Neurospora crassa OR74A: one gene and its partners. The protein of the gene in region 1 interacts with the protein of each later gene in a pairwise test. Links are inferred from orthologs where the notes say so. Each region holds a gene or a part of one and is shown in the gene's direction. Other genes may lie near its edges. The genes, in order: NCU01440, rho-3, NCU08499 and NCU06404.

Region 1 (4,142 bases):
ACGGTGTTGACTCTGAATTGTAACAGTAGTCACTCGTCGTCAATCCGGCCACGGAGCAGACAAAAGGCGGCGACGACGCGGAGTCGGCGGCAAACCACCAAAAGCACCGCCTTTCTCCCCCCCCCCCCCCCCCCCCCTCCCCTTTTTTTTTCCTCCCAAGTCCCAGGCCCCGATACTCGGGCTGCCGGCCGCACGGGGGGCCTGGTGGGGCCCGTAAGTAGGTAGTCTCCAACAGTTTCCACAGTCTTTGACGACCCGCCATTCGCTGGCGCTCTTTTTACCCCTGCAGATTCCAGAAAGAAGAGAAGAAGGAACTGAACGCAAATGCAATTGATTGTCATGGTGCCAGACTCAGCCCGGTCCACCCATCAATGCCATAGAGGTATTGGTACGTATTTACACTATGCCCCATTTTGAGTTTGCCCATCTCTCTCCTTTTCAGGCGGACAGGTTAATGCATTTCAACTGTCAACAAGCGGGCAGACGGGCCAGACGGGGACCCAGTTGGATGGCATATCGAACGAACAAATGAACGAACGAACGGACCAGTGCAAACAATTGGCCATGGGAGTCTGGTAAGATTGGGCCTTACTTCCGTGAGTTCCTTCAGGGAGTTGTGTAAACGAAATGCTACCCTGATGAGGGGCGCCGGTGAGCTGTCGGGGAGAAATACAGAAACTCAGGGGAAGACCAAAGACCGTACATAATGAGAACGATGAAGCCATACAAATCAAGAGGGCTATAGATCAGGAGGAGAAACATGGTCGTCCTCATAGGATATCCTGACGGTTATTCACCCATTGGCGTGAGCCTCCAGAGACACATTTGTACATCTCAAGGTAGAGTGTAGACTTGGACATCGTGACCCATCTTGTACATCATGTCGTCTTCCACTGGACACCTCTCCGGACAAGACAAAGGTAACCCTTATACGCTGCTTAGAGGTGCCAGTCACCCATTGTTCTTCTTCGCCTTGTCTGTGTACTATGTAGCTTTCCACTTATGTAGAGTCGCGGGATTCCCAAGCATACCTCTAGGTATGTAATCTTCTTCGCAGTGTTGGTTAGTGCCCCCTTTTAAGGAGAGCCCTGCTTGTCCAGGTCATTTGGGAATTACGGCTCATTGGAGGGGCTCCATGGAGTCCAGCTCCCCAAGCCCACGAAAGAGTCCGTGCTTCGGTGTTAATGCAACGAGCCCAGCGACGCACCCAATTGGGCGGTGGCCGCCAAAGACCGACCACCTCAACATCCACAACAACGGGGCCCCTGTCAACGGAAGTGAACGTCGGCCGGGCTGTTAGCCTGCCACCACGACGGCCCGCCAGTGCTCTATCATCACCGGGCACCTCAGCTACACTACAAGCGGAAGCCTACCCCTAAACTTTCAACGACATCCCGTCTCGTCGTCCCGCCTTCTCGCCTACCCCGACTTTTGACTTGGTTGTTGACCACACCGGCCCGACAGGCTACTACATCAAGGACGTTCCCTCATCCACAGGTGCTATCTCGACCATCAGCCACTTCTATACAGAGAGGCTGCCACCGTTAAGAGAACCCGACTCGACCGCTCGACGAATCCGTTCTCCCACCGCAAGGCAGTGTGTTGGGTCCCCGCTCCGCCCGTTCTGCCCGCCCCGTTTATACGGCATTCCACAACCTTCCTGTCCTACACACAGTGACAGGACCTGACCTATTCCCGGTCAGCCAAACACCTACCAGCTAGCTCCCTTGGGCACGCAAAGCAAACAACAAAAGCAACAACAACATCTTTCAGCTGTTTCGTCCAAGAACAGCCCGCGCTACACTCCCATCGGTCCGACGACACGAGCCGAACCCCCTTTCGAACTCCTAGACCTACATCGTCTTCGACCACCTTGTTTGTCGGCTTGGGCTCCGTTGCCCGCACGATAGCAACATCTTTCTATACTTCTTTAATGTGTTGCTCCACGTCCAATCCCTATTTTTGTATCTAATTTCCCCCTCTTCCATTCCCTTCGTGAATGTTGTCTTCGCCAGCACCACACTCCCGCCGGCCCTTGGATTCCAAGCTTCCGCGACCGAACTAGCATCCTGGACCGCTCTTCATTCCGGTCGTTGCGTCCGCCATAACAGACACGGTCCACCATTATCCCTATCCACCCCCGTCGCCCCTAGCCGTGCTGGCCGTTCCGCCGCTAGAACTGGCTTCTTGAAGCCATCCAAATCCCACCACAACATCTCTTCCCCCTTGCTCCTGACTCGCAGGTTCGCGCCGATTTTCTCTCCCTCGAGAATACACCGATACAAGCGCATCCAATGTCGGAGAGCTATGATGTTGGCACTCGAGCCTGGCAGCCCGATCCTACCGAGGGTTGGGTTGCCTCTGAAGTAGTCAAGAAGACAGTAGACGGCAACAAGGTCACTCTTATCTTCGAGTGCGAGAATGGCGAGGTAGGTAGCTTATGCTTTCCCAAGTCTCGGCATATTCCGACTTTTGTGCTTTGGTTTACGTGCTTTGCGGGCTGGTGCGCTTCAAGATGCTAACATGTGTTACTGCCTGCAGACTAAGACCGTGGAGGTCTCCCTCGAGGCCCTCCAGTCAGGCGGCCATGAGTCGCTACCGCCCTTGATGAACCCAACAATGCTCGAAGCCAGTGATGACTTGACGAACCTATCACATCTGAACGAGCCTGCTGGTAAATATACACACACCTTTGCGCTGACTCGCCCCGCCATCGGGCGCACTCCGAGAACGTGATGCTGATAGCATGTGCTGTGCTTAGTGCTTCAGGCTATCCGCCTTCGATATGCCCAGAAGGAAATCTACACATACTCGGGTATTGTTCTAATAGCTACAAACCCGTTCGCGCGGGTTGACTCTCTTTATGTCCCAGGCATGGTTCAAGTCTATGCCGGGAAGCAAAGAGCAACCCAAGCTCCCCATCTTTTCGCCATTGCTGAGGAAGCGTTCATGTATGGGCTCTTTGCCAATTTGACGATTCATGTTGACTTGTAATCGCTGACATAACAATAGGGACATGTTGCGCGATGGCAAGAACCAGACCATTGTCGTGTCTGGTGAGTCCGGTGCCGGTAAGACTGTCAGTGCCAAGTACATTATGAGATACTTCGCGACAAGAGAATCGCCCGACAGCCCCGGATCACGAGTAAAGAAGGGTGGCCACGAGTCTATGAGCCAGACCGAGGAGGCTATCTTGGCTACGAACCCGATTATGGAAGCTTTTGGTAACGCAAAGACGACAAGAAACGACAACTCCTCGCGATTCGGTAAATACATCGAAATCATGTTTGACAAGGCCACCAACATTATCGGTGCCAAGATCAGGACCTACCTTCTCGAGCGATCGAGGTTGGTTTTCCAACCGTTGAAGGAAAGAAACTACCATATTTTCTACCAGCTGGTTGCTGGTGTGACGGACAAGGAGCGCCAGGAATTGGGCTTGCTTCCCGTTGAACAGTTCGAGTACCTCAACCAGGGTAACACCCCCACGATCGATGGCGTCGATGACAAGGCCGAGTTCAATGCGACCAAGGCATCTTTGAAGACCATCGGTGTTGACGAGGGCAAGCAAACGGAGATCTTCAAGCTTCTGGCTGGTCTCCTCCACTTGGGTAATGTCAAGATTGGTGCCATGCGAAACGACAGTTCCCTCGATCCTTCCGAACCATCGCTGGTTAAGGCCTGCGAGATTCTCGGCATCGATGCTCCAGAATTTGCCAAGTGGATCGTCAAGAAGCAATTGGTCACTCGTGGTGAAAAGATCGTGTCCAACTTGACCCAGGCGCAGGCTATCGTTGTCCGAGATTCCGTTGCCAAGTACATCTACTCGAGTCTGTTCGACTGGCTCGTCGAAATCATCAATCACAGTCTTGCTTCGGAGGAGGTCCTCACCAGAGTCACTTCCTTCATTGGTGTTCTGGATATTTACGGCTTCGAGCATTTCGCCAAGAACTCCTTCGAGCAGTTCTGTATCAACTACGCCAACGAGAAGCTTCAGCAGGAGTTCAACCAGCATGTGTTCAAGTTGGAGCAGGAGGAATACCTTAGGGAGCAGATTGACTGGACCTTCATCGACTTTGCTGACAACCAGCCCTGCATTGACCTTATCGAGGGCAAACTTGGTATCCTGTCCCTTCTAGACG
Region 2 (4,288 bases), on another chromosome or scaffold:
TCAATCTGTGTGCCCATGGCTTCTACGTAATTGCAAGAGGTGCGCGAATCTCTCAGTCCAGCCACTTGTGCCCCACGCTGCTTGGTTTGGGAACATGACCTTGAGGGCAAGGCAGATCGTCACACTTCTTGTTCGTGCGAAATTTCTGGTATAGTGCAGGCGCCAATAAAGCCATCAATGTTGTTTGACATTTTGCGTCTCTCATTCCCGGGTTGCCAAATCCGGGGTTATCGTCGAGGCTGTTGCTGTGTGTGGGGCATTGATCCAAAAGCCATGGATAAGTATTTCCCTGCGAATGCGAATGGTGGCTTGATGGGCTGAACTCTAAAAGCTACCTACCAGTCATGTACCACATCCAGTCAATGTGGCAAGACTTTTTCTATATCCAGTTCGCCAAAACAAGCAAACCGAAACCCCAGTCGTCAGGCAGTATCGCAGAGTTGGCATAACAGACTTGGCCGACTTGTCAGGTCTCATCACGTCTCCAGATTGGTGCCGTCCCGTCAGCCCTTTGTTCAATAAAACAACGACCAAGCTAGTGTCCACTCGCCCTTGCTGCACAAGGTACCTAAGGTAGGTACCTAGGTGCGCACCCTTTCATTCCATCCACGAGCCAATTGGTTTTGGAGGGCACATGAGACCAGATGTTCCGGGCTGTGTCAAGATGACGCACTCGTGCCTGGATTTCATATGCTCAAATGCTGCGCGTAGCCAGGAAATACACTACACGACATTGTTCGCCCGATCTGCAAGACTGGTGTGGGTAACAACGTTGTGCTGCAAGTGAGGGCGAGTTGGGTTGAGGAAGAGGGATTGTCGATGTTTGATCAAGCCTAAGTTGATCATCGTGTTTGTGCAACAGCATAGTCATAGTACGAAGTAGCACTGCAAACCGAAAAGGTTTCGGGTCGTGTCAGGGCGAGGTATCTAAACTCAAGCGCTGGAGTATATACGTAGTCTCTGTGCCGTGATCATTCAGTCAACTAGTCTAGCCAGTGGAAAGGCATTATCTAAAACTCTAAAAGGTAAGGAAGTCAAAATCAGAGAGATGGATGGATAAATGAATTGGATTGCAAGGGACGGTTTCGACCGAAGTTCGAGATTGATCCCTGAATATCAAATAGCCTGCCAGTGTTAAGCGAGTATTTGGCCCCACAGTCTTCTTCTCCTTCCCGAACGGCATGGCAACTTGGCTCCGTGCTAGGTGGAAGGTTGGGGTGGGCCAGCCTGGCCAGTTTGTCGCACAACGAGTGGCTGGAGCGCACCTGTTCGCTGCTGACGATTTGTGCTGGGCGCACAGCACAACCCCCGCTTACAGGCCCGGTTGTCTGCAGGCATGCACCGGGCAGTGTGGCTGCCTGTGTCCATGTCAAACCGACCCGTTCCAGTTGTTATGGGCTCAGCTTCAGCTCCCACTGCAACTGCAACTGCAGCGGCCGCTAGAATGGGCCAGCGGACGCCCCCTGCACCGTGCGGAGGAATAGGTCGACCGACGAGTCCTGCCTCGCTCCATTCCAATTTCGCTGACCTCATCTCCGACTTCAATTTCGTCCACAAGTTGCCTCCTTCACTTTATACGCTGTCGACCAAACTCCCTTCGCTTTTCCACTGCACTTCCTGATCCCTTTTTGCCCTTCTCTTTTCCCTTCTTTCCGTTCCCGTCCTGTTCTCTCCCCCCGCCCGCTGCCTCACTCCCAGCGACTCACACTCTCTTGCGGCGGCATACGCACAACGACACAGTTTCAAGTTTTCCAACTACTTTCCCTCGATTACGACCTGCCCAGCATTCCCCGTTGCTGTACCCCAGAAACCCCGTATCGGCCTTCCTCTACTTTTCTGGTTTGGCTCCTTTTCGACCGACACCACTGCAACCCCCATCGAGCCTCTGCTCCGCCGCCGCCGCCGCCGCCGCCCCCCTCTTTCCACTTCGTCATTATCAATCGGTTTGCGACTTCCAGCGAAATATAGTTAAACGTCTGCGGCTCGTTACTCCAGAGTCTCTATTGCCTTTCAGTCGCCTGCCATCCTTATTCTCATATTCGATCCCGGTAACCCTTTTCTTTGAAGAAAGCCAATTGGGGACATTCATTATCGAGCTCCAGACGCAACTAAAGGGGGTCCACCAATCCACTGCGTCGCCCTTCTTCGAGACTCGGAAACGGCAATACTGCAACAGCACAACTTCTCATTTCTTTTCTTCTTCACAAACCAGTCAAAATGCCTTGCGGACTCGGAGGGTCGAAAACAGTGCAGCGCAAGCTCGTCTTGCTGTGAGTTTAACACACCCCAATCTCGTCCCGTATCGGATTGATCGAGGCGACATCTCAATGCGTAGAGAGAGACTCTGGCTATGAGATCAATTGCTGACCGGAACTCTTGGCAACAGCGGCGATGGTGCCTGCGGAAAAACCTCACTGCTCAACGTTTTCACAAGAGGGTATGTTTGCGATTGAACCGCCATTGCCTCGCAATCTAAGAATTCACGCTCAACCTCCCGTCCAGCTATTTCCCCACTGTATACGAGCCGACAGTCTTCGAGAACTATGTGCACGGTACGTTTGCAGAGAAAGTGACCGAAGCGTCCTCCAATGCGATACTAATGTTGACTCAGACATTTTCGTCGACAATGTCCATATTGAACTGTCATTGTGGGATACCGCCGGCCAGGAAGAATTTGACAGGCTACGAAGTCTATCATACGGTAGGTTCTTCGCATTCCCCGGTAGCCGCTAACCATGTTATGTGCGTGACGTCTGACTTGCGGTGTACTAGATGACACCGACTTAATCATGCTTTGCTACTCTGTCGACAGCAAGGACTCGCTCGAAAACGTCGAAAGCAAATGGCAAGGCGAGATTGCTGAAAACTGCCCGGGCGTCAAGATTGTCTTGGTCGCGTTGAAGTGCGACCTGCGCGAGGCGACCGAGGACGAAGAGGATGGCGGAGCCAACGAGGACGGTGCTCAACGTGAGAAGAAGCCAATGATCAGCTACGACCAGGGCCTGGAAGTGGCTCGCCGGATCAAGGCCCTTCGATATCTCGAATGCTCCGCCATGCGAAACCGGGGAGTCAACGAAGCCTTCACCGAAGCAGCGCGTGTCGCTTTGTCAGTGAAGAAGGACCGGGAGGAGTCGAAGTGCGTGGTCATGTAAGACGGCTGACCGAACAACCCGGATTATGGCCCCAGCATAGGCCGTCCTCTCGAGCATTGCCTCGATGCTAGGCAACAATGTGTTTTATACGTAAGATCGACGCAGATCAGAGCACCGCTAGCAAACACGGGCAACCACATTTATCTCCCCGACCAGCTCATTCACGCTATCGCCCAAGAAGGACGCCTTTACGACGCCGATACCGGACGTTTTTGTCTACGATGCACACGATTTCGCAACCAGCAGTGGTTCCCTTACCAACTTTTTTTTGTTTTCCGCCACCGGTTTTCGCTCTTGTCTTACTGCATCTTCTGGCCTCCTCTCTTCGAGTTATCAATATCCTGTCTCGGCGTGTTGTCGGGGTGGTGACTGGTGGAAAATTGGAGTTTACAACAGCAAAGTTTTGTTTTCCTATTTTTCATTTCTGCATTGTACATAATTTGGTCGATTTTCTGGAATCTGCATATACGGACGGGCTAGTGGGGAAAGACTCTGAAGACATGTTGAGATGGACGGGGAACTCTTTCAACACACGACATGGAAGGTTGAAGTGGCATAGGGTTGCGCTGGAGGAAATTTGTTTGACAGCGGAAAATATAGCTGTGTTCAACCGCTAATTGAGCTGCTTGAGCAGTCGCTGAGAGCTTGGGTTTTCGTGGTTGTGGATTTGATGTTAAGAGGTCTATGTAACAACTGTCTTGAGCATTATTATTAGGATGGGGTGCTGATGTTCAGTGGCCATAGCAACAGTCTACGATATGTGCCAAATCCCTGTATCATGGTCTGCCAGTTTAGAACAGACGCTCGTGTGTATATGTACCCTTGGCTTGATATTTTTGTCGCGGAAGTCGAGCTTTCAATCGAGTAACTGAGCATCTCCGAACTCCCCATTGCTAAAGGCTATAATAACAAGTTCCATGAGGTAGATAATGTGTCGGGTATTTGCCAATCTTGACTCGAGCATCTCCGGTCATGGCCCGCGGACATATGGCGGATTCTTATCAGTCTTATCGTTTGACAGTTCCAAGCGGCGATTAAGCAGCGAGATTGCAGTGCGTACAGTACTTGGCAAGGAGTTCATTACCAATCGAGCTGAAGGATAAACATGCACTGTATCTTTGTTTTGCAGAGCCGGT
Region 3 (4,046 bases), on another chromosome or scaffold:
CTTGGTTCTTCTAGAAGGTGGCTGACCGCACAGGGCTGGCACAACGGCATCTCGGTTCTTGGCTATTTTCGACAAAAAGGAGAGGGCAAGGCGAGCGAGGGCTTAGGCGGATCCCGAACCTTGTTCGTGGCCGAGTTTTGGCGAAATGGGCAATGCCGTCTTTGACATGATGTTTTGGGAATTTATTGAGGCAAACGGGTATCGTGGGGATTCCAATGCTCTGGGTTGGGTCGATGGGGTTTCCGCTGTCGATCAAGCAGACATGGCTGGTATTTGAAGTTTATCAGATGAACCATGTACCTATGCCGTGTGTCTGGACTCTGGAGAAGGTGGTGAAGGAGGTGTTGCAACATTGTATGTAAGTGGAAAGGAGGGTGGAAGAAAACGGCGAAAAGCTCAAGACATTCCAATGCATTTTTGCCGATGATTGGCGCATTTCGGCAGATCCATGCCCCTCATCCGTTTCAGAAAAACCGCTGCGCATACCATTGGGGAAACCCCCCCATGTTCCCCATTCTATTCTAGACTTTTTGTCCCGCTGTGGACGCGCCATCTCTTGCACTTTATAGACGCCGCCAACCAGCCGATGAAGGATGTGCATCGAATCATGGCCGGCGAATGTTTATGGAGTGAACGTGTTTGCGGCCTCACATTTGATCGGGTGGCTTCAGTTGCTTTGACCTGAATATCGACTTTTTGTGTGTGGAGAGAATAAGCACAAAAGAAGGAGGTTTAATTGCATCTCAATGCCGTGGGAGTTCCTTGTTATGCTGTACATAGAGATACGTATGTATATTACTGTACGGCGGGTGAGTGTAACGCAGGAACCTCAAGGGCTGCAACACTGACAGCTGCTGTCTACCATATACTAGTGTAGAGTGAGATACCTAGGTAATGTATGCCCTGTCTGTCATGTTGATAGTAGGTACCCGTCTGATCCCGTATGTAATAGTTCGTGGTGGCCCTGAGCACACGAGCAAGTGCGGTGAACAATGACAAAAGTACGGTAAACAAAGTGCGTGGATTGTGGTGGAGTGATTAGTCTGCTAGGTACCCGCGACTTGACATCGGCCCATTTTAGAGCCTCAGTTAGTGCAGGCTTGGCGTACTGTGTACCCCGAAATCTCTCAGGGGACGACACACTGACCGACCATGGACATTTTGCACTTACAAGCATCAATCATTCTGCACCCAGACTCCTCCCCTCCCACATCACAGACAGACACACACACACACACAATTCGTATCACGACAACAGCAGCAGCAGCAGCAGCAGCAGCGGCAGCGAGTCGACCTGCCCGTTCCTCCAGACCACCTAGGCACCTACCACTCAGACTCTCAACAACAGGTAGTACTGCCAGTGATTCCTGTCTTGTCTTGTCTTGTCTTTAAGCGGCCCTGTTTGCAGCACTTGCCCCCGTCATTGATCACCCATTGTCGACCAGTGGAAAGCGACTGGAGTAGTCGAGCAGCTGTGTGAGTGAGGGGTGTGTGTCTTGTCTCTCTCTCCCTCCGTCCCTCTCCGCCAATTGAACATCCAGCAGCCAGCCAGCCAGCCAGCCAGCCAGCACTTCCACGCACTTGCTTGCTTGTATTTCCGTTTATCAATGGCCAGTCGCTCCGCCGCGTAAACAACAACCACTACCTTGCCTACCTACCTACCTACCTACCTACCTACCTACCTCTAGTACCACACACCACTCACTGCACCCACCACCACCACCTTACTTGTCGCCCGCTCTCGCCTGTCCTTGTGTCGCCGCCTCGTATATTGTCCAGAGCCGGAGCAGCCTGTGCCTATTCCTTGGGTTTCCACCTCCCAAGAAACAACCGAAATGTCGGCATCCGAAGTACAGGAAGGGGCTGCTGCCCCCCACGAGGCGGTCGCTACCAAAGAGATGCCCACGGAGACGGTTCAGGAGGTCACCCACGAGCACGAGAAAGAGGACGCTGCTTCCTCTCCCGTAACAGAGACAAAGGACAAGGACTCCCAGCCCGACCACCAGCGACCAGCCTCTCTCGCTCCCACCAACCTGTCCGACCCAGACGACAAGGACACCGTAAGTCTCCCTTTCCTTCCTCAAGTTACCATGTTACCTGCCCCTAGGGAGGTACAAGGCAGTGCAACCCAAAGCAACAAGAGTACTGTACTATACGAGCGAGTGCTGACCAGCGACCACAATCATGATTATTGCCCATCATGCAGGATACGTTTGAAGATGCCATCGACACAGGTTCCGTAAGGTCCCTAACAAAACGCTCTTCCTCGTTTCACCGCCCGCGCTCCCCATCAATGGACGATTCTGCCGCCGCCGACGCCGACCACGACGCCCGCTCCCACACCACAGAGACACCCCAAGTTCCCAAGACAGCAGAGATCAAGGAAGAGGAGCAGGAAGACGTCTTCGAGACCCCGGCACAGGAGCAGGAAAGCAAGTCGCTACACCGCATCTCGCATGCTTCCAAGGTTTCAGAGGCGTCCGCTTTCTCGGCTGCATCGCTGGACGATGTAAGCCTAAACGATAATTCTACAATTGGAGACAAAACAGGTACGTTGGAAGCTGCACGCACAGCCAAGCAAAACCCACCAGACTGTACTGACAAGGGAACCCAGAAAAATCCCTTGATACGGCGCCTTCGTCAACCAAGAAGCTGTCAATAAGCAGTATAGCTAGTGCCCTGCCCGCCATGCCGTGGTCACCTTCCGCTACCGACGAAGCTGTAAAAAGCCCACCCGCGGCCGCTGCCGCCGCTGCCGCCGCCGCTCCTCCTGCGCCTGCGCCCGCAGCCCTTACTCCGGCACCACCGCCTCCCGTCACCAGAAAACTAACCAGCCCCTTTTCCTGGCTGTCCAGGAGTTCATCAAAGGAGCAAGCCAACCCACCCCCACCGCCAGCCGCCGCAACGGCTCCAAGACGGAATACCGCCAGCTCTGTTGCTACTCTCTCCAGCAACCCCGATGGGACGTTAGGCAAGGTTGACGAGGAGGGCAATAAGAACACTCTCAAGGATCGCTTCAAGCAATTGCGCCTAAGAGAGGAGGGCAGCGCGCCCACGGGAGACGATGACGAGAAGAGCTCTACCCCGGAGGAGAAGGAAGCAGTCCAACCCCCTCCGTCGCCGCTTCCACCAACTCCCAACCCGGCTCTCGCACCCGGTACCGCATCCGGGGTCACTGCTGGCCCAGCGGGCTCCGATACTCCTGTGGACTGGGATCTGTGGCAGACGGTTGTGTACGAAGGTCCCGCAGCTGTTGCTCGGACAAGCCCTGAGCAGTTGAAGGAGGCCATCGCGAAGGGTATCCCCAGCGCCATTCGTGGAGTCATCTGGCAAGTTCTGGCACAAAGCAAGAATGAGGAACTGGAAACGGTTTACCGAGACTTGGTTGCGAGGGGCACAGACAAGGAGAGGAAAACTGACAGGCAGAGCAATGCCTCAATATCACTGAGTAACGGCGGCAAGCCGAGCGGCAAGGATACGCCCTCTTCTGCCTCGTCAGTTCACTCAGAAAAATCTGGGCCCAACGGAACCGGCGCTCCTTCTCCGACAGAGAAAGACGCGGAAGCCCTCGCCAAGGCCCAGGCTCTTGCCGCGGCGGAGCGCAAGAAGAAGGAAAAGGAAGATAAGGAAATGTTGTCGAGGCTCGAAAAGGTCATTAGAAGGGATCTGGGCGCTCGAACGAGCTATTCCAAATTTGCCGCCGCCCAAGGGCTTCAGGAGGGCCTCTTTGGCGTGTGCAAGGCATATGCTCTCTTTGACGAAGCCGTCGGCTATGCCCAAGGCATGAACTTCCTCGTCATGCCTCTTCTCTTCAACATGCCCGAGGAGGAGGCCTTCTGCCTGCTGGTACGACTAATGAACCAATACCACCTTCGCGAGCTCTTTATCCAGGACATGCCCGGTCTGCACAAGTGCCTCTACCAGTTTGAGCGCATACTCGAGGACCTCGAGCCCGCTCTCTACTGCCACCTCCATCGGCGTGGCATCTCCCCTCACCTCTACGCCACGCAGTGGTTCCTCACCTTGTTTGCCTACCGCTTCCCCCT
Region 4 (4,065 bases), on another chromosome or scaffold:
TAAGCGTTTTGTATTGTTAGTTGGGCTGTGATGTGATATGATCAGTGTACTTTAGTAAATAGCGACTAGATCTTCCATGATTCTTCTGTTTGTATGAAATAGCTATAAGGACTTGGAGTTTTGAGAATGCACGGGGGAGATGGTGCCGGTGATATGGCAGAGGTGAGCAGGTGCAGGAAGTACCGGGCCTAAACACCAAAACAGAGTTGTCTACTAACCCCTTAAACACGGTGGATACCTACCTACCTATGTGCCTATAGGCGGCGACGTTTAGTCCACGTAGTGTGAAAACACCCCACGGGCATGTTGCTGGACTTTTTCACGCTTCACGCAGGGGCATAACCAGGGTGCAGGGTCACCCAGGGGCCGCCTTTCGTGTGGCGGGAGGGCAGGAAAAGGCTTTGGTGGAAGAGATCATTGGGCCAATATGAGTTATAGATCCATCAACGGATACTGCGTCTCGTGCGTATAGACTGTTCACCGCCCTGCCCGCCTTTCTCACCATGTTGCTGTGAGACCGCCCAGTCGCCTGTGTCTGCAGCTTCAGCTGGCCTTTCACGATACTCCATTTTGTTGAAGAAGCCAAGAAAACCCCTTAATCAACTTTCCTGGTAAAACAAACAAATAAAGACAGCTGGTCTTCTGTTGGATGCGCGAATGAACGGATGGTCTCGTTTGGTCTCGAGGCTCACCTTCTTCCGCGACCTCAGATATTAGTGGCAGAGCTCCCTCCCTGGTTCCTGAATCTTGGGTTGCATTCGTTGAGAGTGCAGTTGAGTTGTCTCTTTCTCACTCCGGTTTCCTAGACACTTTGCGCCATGCACAACAACTTGTCCTTCGAGCTCATCCTGTCATTCATAACACATTGGTATCTCTATCTACTGCAAGGTTGAAAGGGACACAAAGAATGGAATATCAGGTGGAGTTGTTGCGGCGATTGTAGGTTCTAGAAACTTGACCGATTACGTACCGAACAGTCGCGTCCCCTAGACCACGATCACGCGCTGCAATAAGCGTTCTTCCACTAGAGTGGAGGTACAGGTGTAAAGGGCACAGATAACCCCCCATCCCATACATAGTGTAGCCCGCGACTCGGTAGCACTTCAGGCAAGTGCGTCAACCCTCACATTGTACCTCTATGGTGGTGATCGCGTTGCCCGGGCTCTGGACTTCCACTTGCCCTGCGCTTTGGGACCCAGGTTAGCATTGATTAGATAGTATCAGACATCAGGGGCATCTGAGACATTCCAGTTTTCTTGGTTCCTTCCTCTCCACGCAGGGAGGTCTTGGACAAGTGGAAGCTACAAGACCCCTTTCTGCCTTCCCCGTCCTCGTCATTGTTCGCCTTTCCATTGGATCTCCGCACGGCATCGCCCCGTAAAGTTGGAGGGAGAGAGAGCCCAGGTACGCACTGCCCGCAGCCCAGTAGCCGGCCAGCCAAGTCTACCTTAGTGCAGGAGTAGGAGACCCCATCGCGCTCTCGCCTGTTTGTTCGTTCTGCGACTCCTCCTCCGCTGGACTACTACCTAACCCGTGCAACCGCCCTGCAGTTTTGACAGGCCCGTCAACGTCGCACTGCGGACACGCTTTCAACTACCACCACCACTGCATTCCACCACCACTCACTCACTCACCTACACTACCTACCTACAACTGAACATCATTCCTGCTCTGTCGCCTGTTTCCTGAACTGCGCATCGTCACCACCATTCGAGCCTCCAGTCTCCATCCCCATTCCCTTTCCCGCAACTACCAGTGTACAACAGCCCGACGATTTCGAAACGCCGGATTTCGATTGATATCCCCTTTGCCGAATTCCGGAGTCCGAACTACCAGAGAAACATTCCAAGAGATCGAAACGACGGGCGGCGGCGTTAACCCCCACACCAGTTCATCATGTCGAGTAACAGGAATTACGATTTTCTGGTGAGTCTTTCCTTCACCTCACCGCTCGCACTCTCGCGACATTCCTTGTGTTCCCCCCCTCCCCCGTAGTGGGTTTGGCGAGGTTATTCTGTTTCCAGACGCTGACCGGAGATACCGCTTCACGACATAGATCAAGCTGCTCTTGATCGGAGACTCGGGCGTTGGCAAGTCCTGCTGTCTGTTGCGCTTTAGCGAAGACTCATTCACACCGTCATTTATCACCACCATCGGTATCGACTTCAAGATCCGCACAATCGAACTCGATGGCAAGCGGGTGAAGCTACAGATATGGGATACCGCCGGTCAAGAGCGTTTCCGTACCATCACGACGGCATACTACAGAGGCGCCATGGGCATTCTTCTCGTTTACGACGTGACGGATGAAAGGTCATTCAACAGTACGTGAACCCACATTCCCATCCCGCATAAAATGGCATGACAGTTGCGGTCAAGAGGTGGTCCTTGAGGTCACGCTCGAAATGCGATGGATTGGTGCCTTTTAGATGCCATGCCTCTCCATTGCTCCGGATTCTGGCATCAGCAATCTCCCATCGGATACCATGCCATGTATTACCTCGCTCCTTTGCTGACGTGACCTTCTCTTCGCAGATATCCGTACCTGGTTCGCCAACGTGGAGCAACACGCGACGGAAGGAGTCAACAAGATTCTCATTGGAAACAAGTGCGACTGGGAGGAAAAGAGGGCGGTTTCCAAGGAACAAGGCCAAGCGCTAGCCGACGAGCTTGGCATTCCCTTCCTCGAGGTTTCGGCCAAGGCGAACATCAACATCGAAGAGGCCTTCTTCAGCCTCGCCAACGACATCAAGAAGCGCATCATCGACACATCCGGCAAAGAGGCGTCTGGCGGCTCGTCGGGCGTGAACGTCAGCGACAACAGCGGGTCAGGATCCGGCGGCAAGTGCTGTTAAGCCAAACGGGTAGCAGTTGTGTGGCGGCGAAACCCGACCCTGGAGCTCGCAAAAAAAAAAAAAAAAAAGCCCGCTGACAATCACGATGGCGATACGAGATCCGATTTATCCTCCCGAAGTATGGATGACAGCAGTCTGGCCTCATTCAGTTCTATTTGGCTACAGCCTACGTCTATCGAACATGCACCTGTCTTCCTGCGGGCCACCAATATGCACGGCCGGGTCTACCGCATGGAAACAAAGAGGCGGTGTAGGGGAGAAAGAGGGTATCTTCGGTCTCAAGACTTTACTATGGTTGTAATGAAGCTAAGGTCCAAGAGGAAAAGACGGCTTTAGTTATTCTGGAGGGCTCATTGAAAACCCCTTTCTTGTCACTCGGGAGCAGGAGGGAGAAGCGGCGCGGAAGATACGACGCGTGCTCATTTCCGGCTTCTCGCTATTGGGTCTATTATTATTGCGCTCTAGAAGCAGTGGATGGTAGGATGGATAGGCTAGGGAGCTGAGGACATCAACGACGATACGGAGACATGTGAGTATTACGACCGGCTTGATCGATATAGATGGATTGAGGTTGGGTTGGCAGCATGGACGAGGGGCAGAGAGCGAAACGAAACATTCTGGTCACGGAGTTTGGGTGCGATCTTTGGCTCTTCCTAATATATTTCATTTTCTTCTCTCTTGACTGTTTCCCCTTTGTTGTTCTCTTTCTGGTTTGTAGATTTCGTGCGCGGCCCCCCTTATAGCTGTATCTCCAAAGTATGACGATACGACACCCATAAAACAAAACATAGATAGATATTCCCTGAAAAGATGGGGACGCCCTGGTCAACCATGGCTAGTGTAGAGTATCAAGACGTATGACGTGAGCGATAACATTGTTGACATGAGCCACGAATCCACAAGAGGTGCTCTTTTACTCTTTCGGGAAACGAGCACAAAGAACGGGATAGATGTGGTCTGTGCGTTGCTCAACTTCCACTTGTCGGTCCCTTCGGTCTGACTGTTTACATAGTGCCGAGGAAGCCACCACTGCACTGCGGCATGCCACCACGCTCACTACAGGACCCATACTCGAGGGTGATGGGTGCCTTCTGGCTCTGGGCGCCAAGGCTCTTCCACCCCCTCCCTATAGGAGAGGGGGTGGATAAAATATGGGATAGTAAATTAATTTGGGACAGTAGCGAAATATACTATGTAGATTCGCCAATTA

The links.
Region 2: the proteins of NCU01440 (region 1) and rho-3 interact in a two-hybrid assay, tested with the Saccharomyces cerevisiae proteins (2 studies listed by BioGRID). The link is inferred for Neurospora crassa OR74A from reciprocal best matches to the Saccharomyces cerevisiae genes MYO2 and RHO3.
Region 3: the proteins of NCU01440 (region 1) and NCU08499 interact in a two-hybrid assay, tested with the Saccharomyces cerevisiae proteins (2 studies listed by BioGRID). The link is inferred for Neurospora crassa OR74A from reciprocal best matches to the Saccharomyces cerevisiae genes MYO2 and GYP5.
Region 4: the proteins of NCU01440 (region 1) and NCU06404 interact in a two-hybrid assay, tested with the Saccharomyces cerevisiae proteins (4 studies listed by BioGRID, with this or other methods). The link is inferred for Neurospora crassa OR74A from reciprocal best matches to the Saccharomyces cerevisiae genes MYO2 and SEC4.

Annotation. Positions count from the first base shown.
Region 1 is NC_026505.1:4,738,502-4,742,643, reverse strand, and holds the start of NCU01440 (myosin-2), read left to right. Parts: upstream 1-1,338; 5' UTR 1,339-2,294; coding exon 2,295-2,429; intron 2,430-2,541; coding exon 2,542-2,674; intron 2,675-2,761; coding exon 2,762-2,951; intron 2,952-3,012; coding exon 3,013-4,142. UniProt on the Saccharomyces cerevisiae protein: Myosin heavy chain that is required for the cell cycle-regulated transport of various organelles and proteins for their segregation.
Region 2 is NC_026501.1:7,873,118-7,877,405, reverse strand, and holds rho-3 (small Rho-type GTPase), read left to right. Parts: upstream 1-1,439; 5' UTR 1,440-2,217; coding exon 2,218-2,270; intron 2,271-2,386; coding exon 2,387-2,437; intron 2,438-2,502; coding exon 2,503-2,552; intron 2,553-2,611; coding exon 2,612-2,701; intron 2,702-2,772; coding exon 2,773-3,152; 3' UTR 3,153-4,035; downstream 4,036-4,288. UniProt on the Saccharomyces cerevisiae protein: Plays an important role in cell growth. Required to keep the uninucleated state. Modulates morphogenesis during bud growth via directing organization of the actin cytoskeleton and the position of the secretory machinery for exocytosis.
Region 3 is NC_026502.1:3,459,262-3,463,307, reverse strand, and holds the start of NCU08499 (GTPase-activating protein GYP5), read left to right. Parts: upstream 1-1,213; 5' UTR 1,214-1,835; coding exon 1,836-2,060; intron 2,061-2,206; coding exon 2,207-2,549; intron 2,550-2,614; coding exon 2,615-4,046. UniProt on the Saccharomyces cerevisiae protein: GTPase-activating protein which accelerates the GTP hydrolysis rate of YPT1 and SEC4. Involved in ER to Golgi trafficking and polarized exocytosis.
Region 4 is NC_026504.1:2,622,872-2,626,936, reverse strand, and holds NCU06404 (GTP-binding protein), read left to right. Parts: upstream 1-1,228; 5' UTR 1,229-1,896; coding exon 1,897-1,926; intron 1,927-2,056; coding exon 2,057-2,324; intron 2,325-2,535; coding exon 2,536-2,855; 3' UTR 2,856-3,722; downstream 3,723-4,065. UniProt on the Saccharomyces cerevisiae protein: Involved in exocytosis. Maybe by regulating the binding and fusion of secretory vesicles with the cell surface. The GTP-bound form of SEC4 may interact with an effector, thereby stimulating its activity and leading to exocytotic fusion.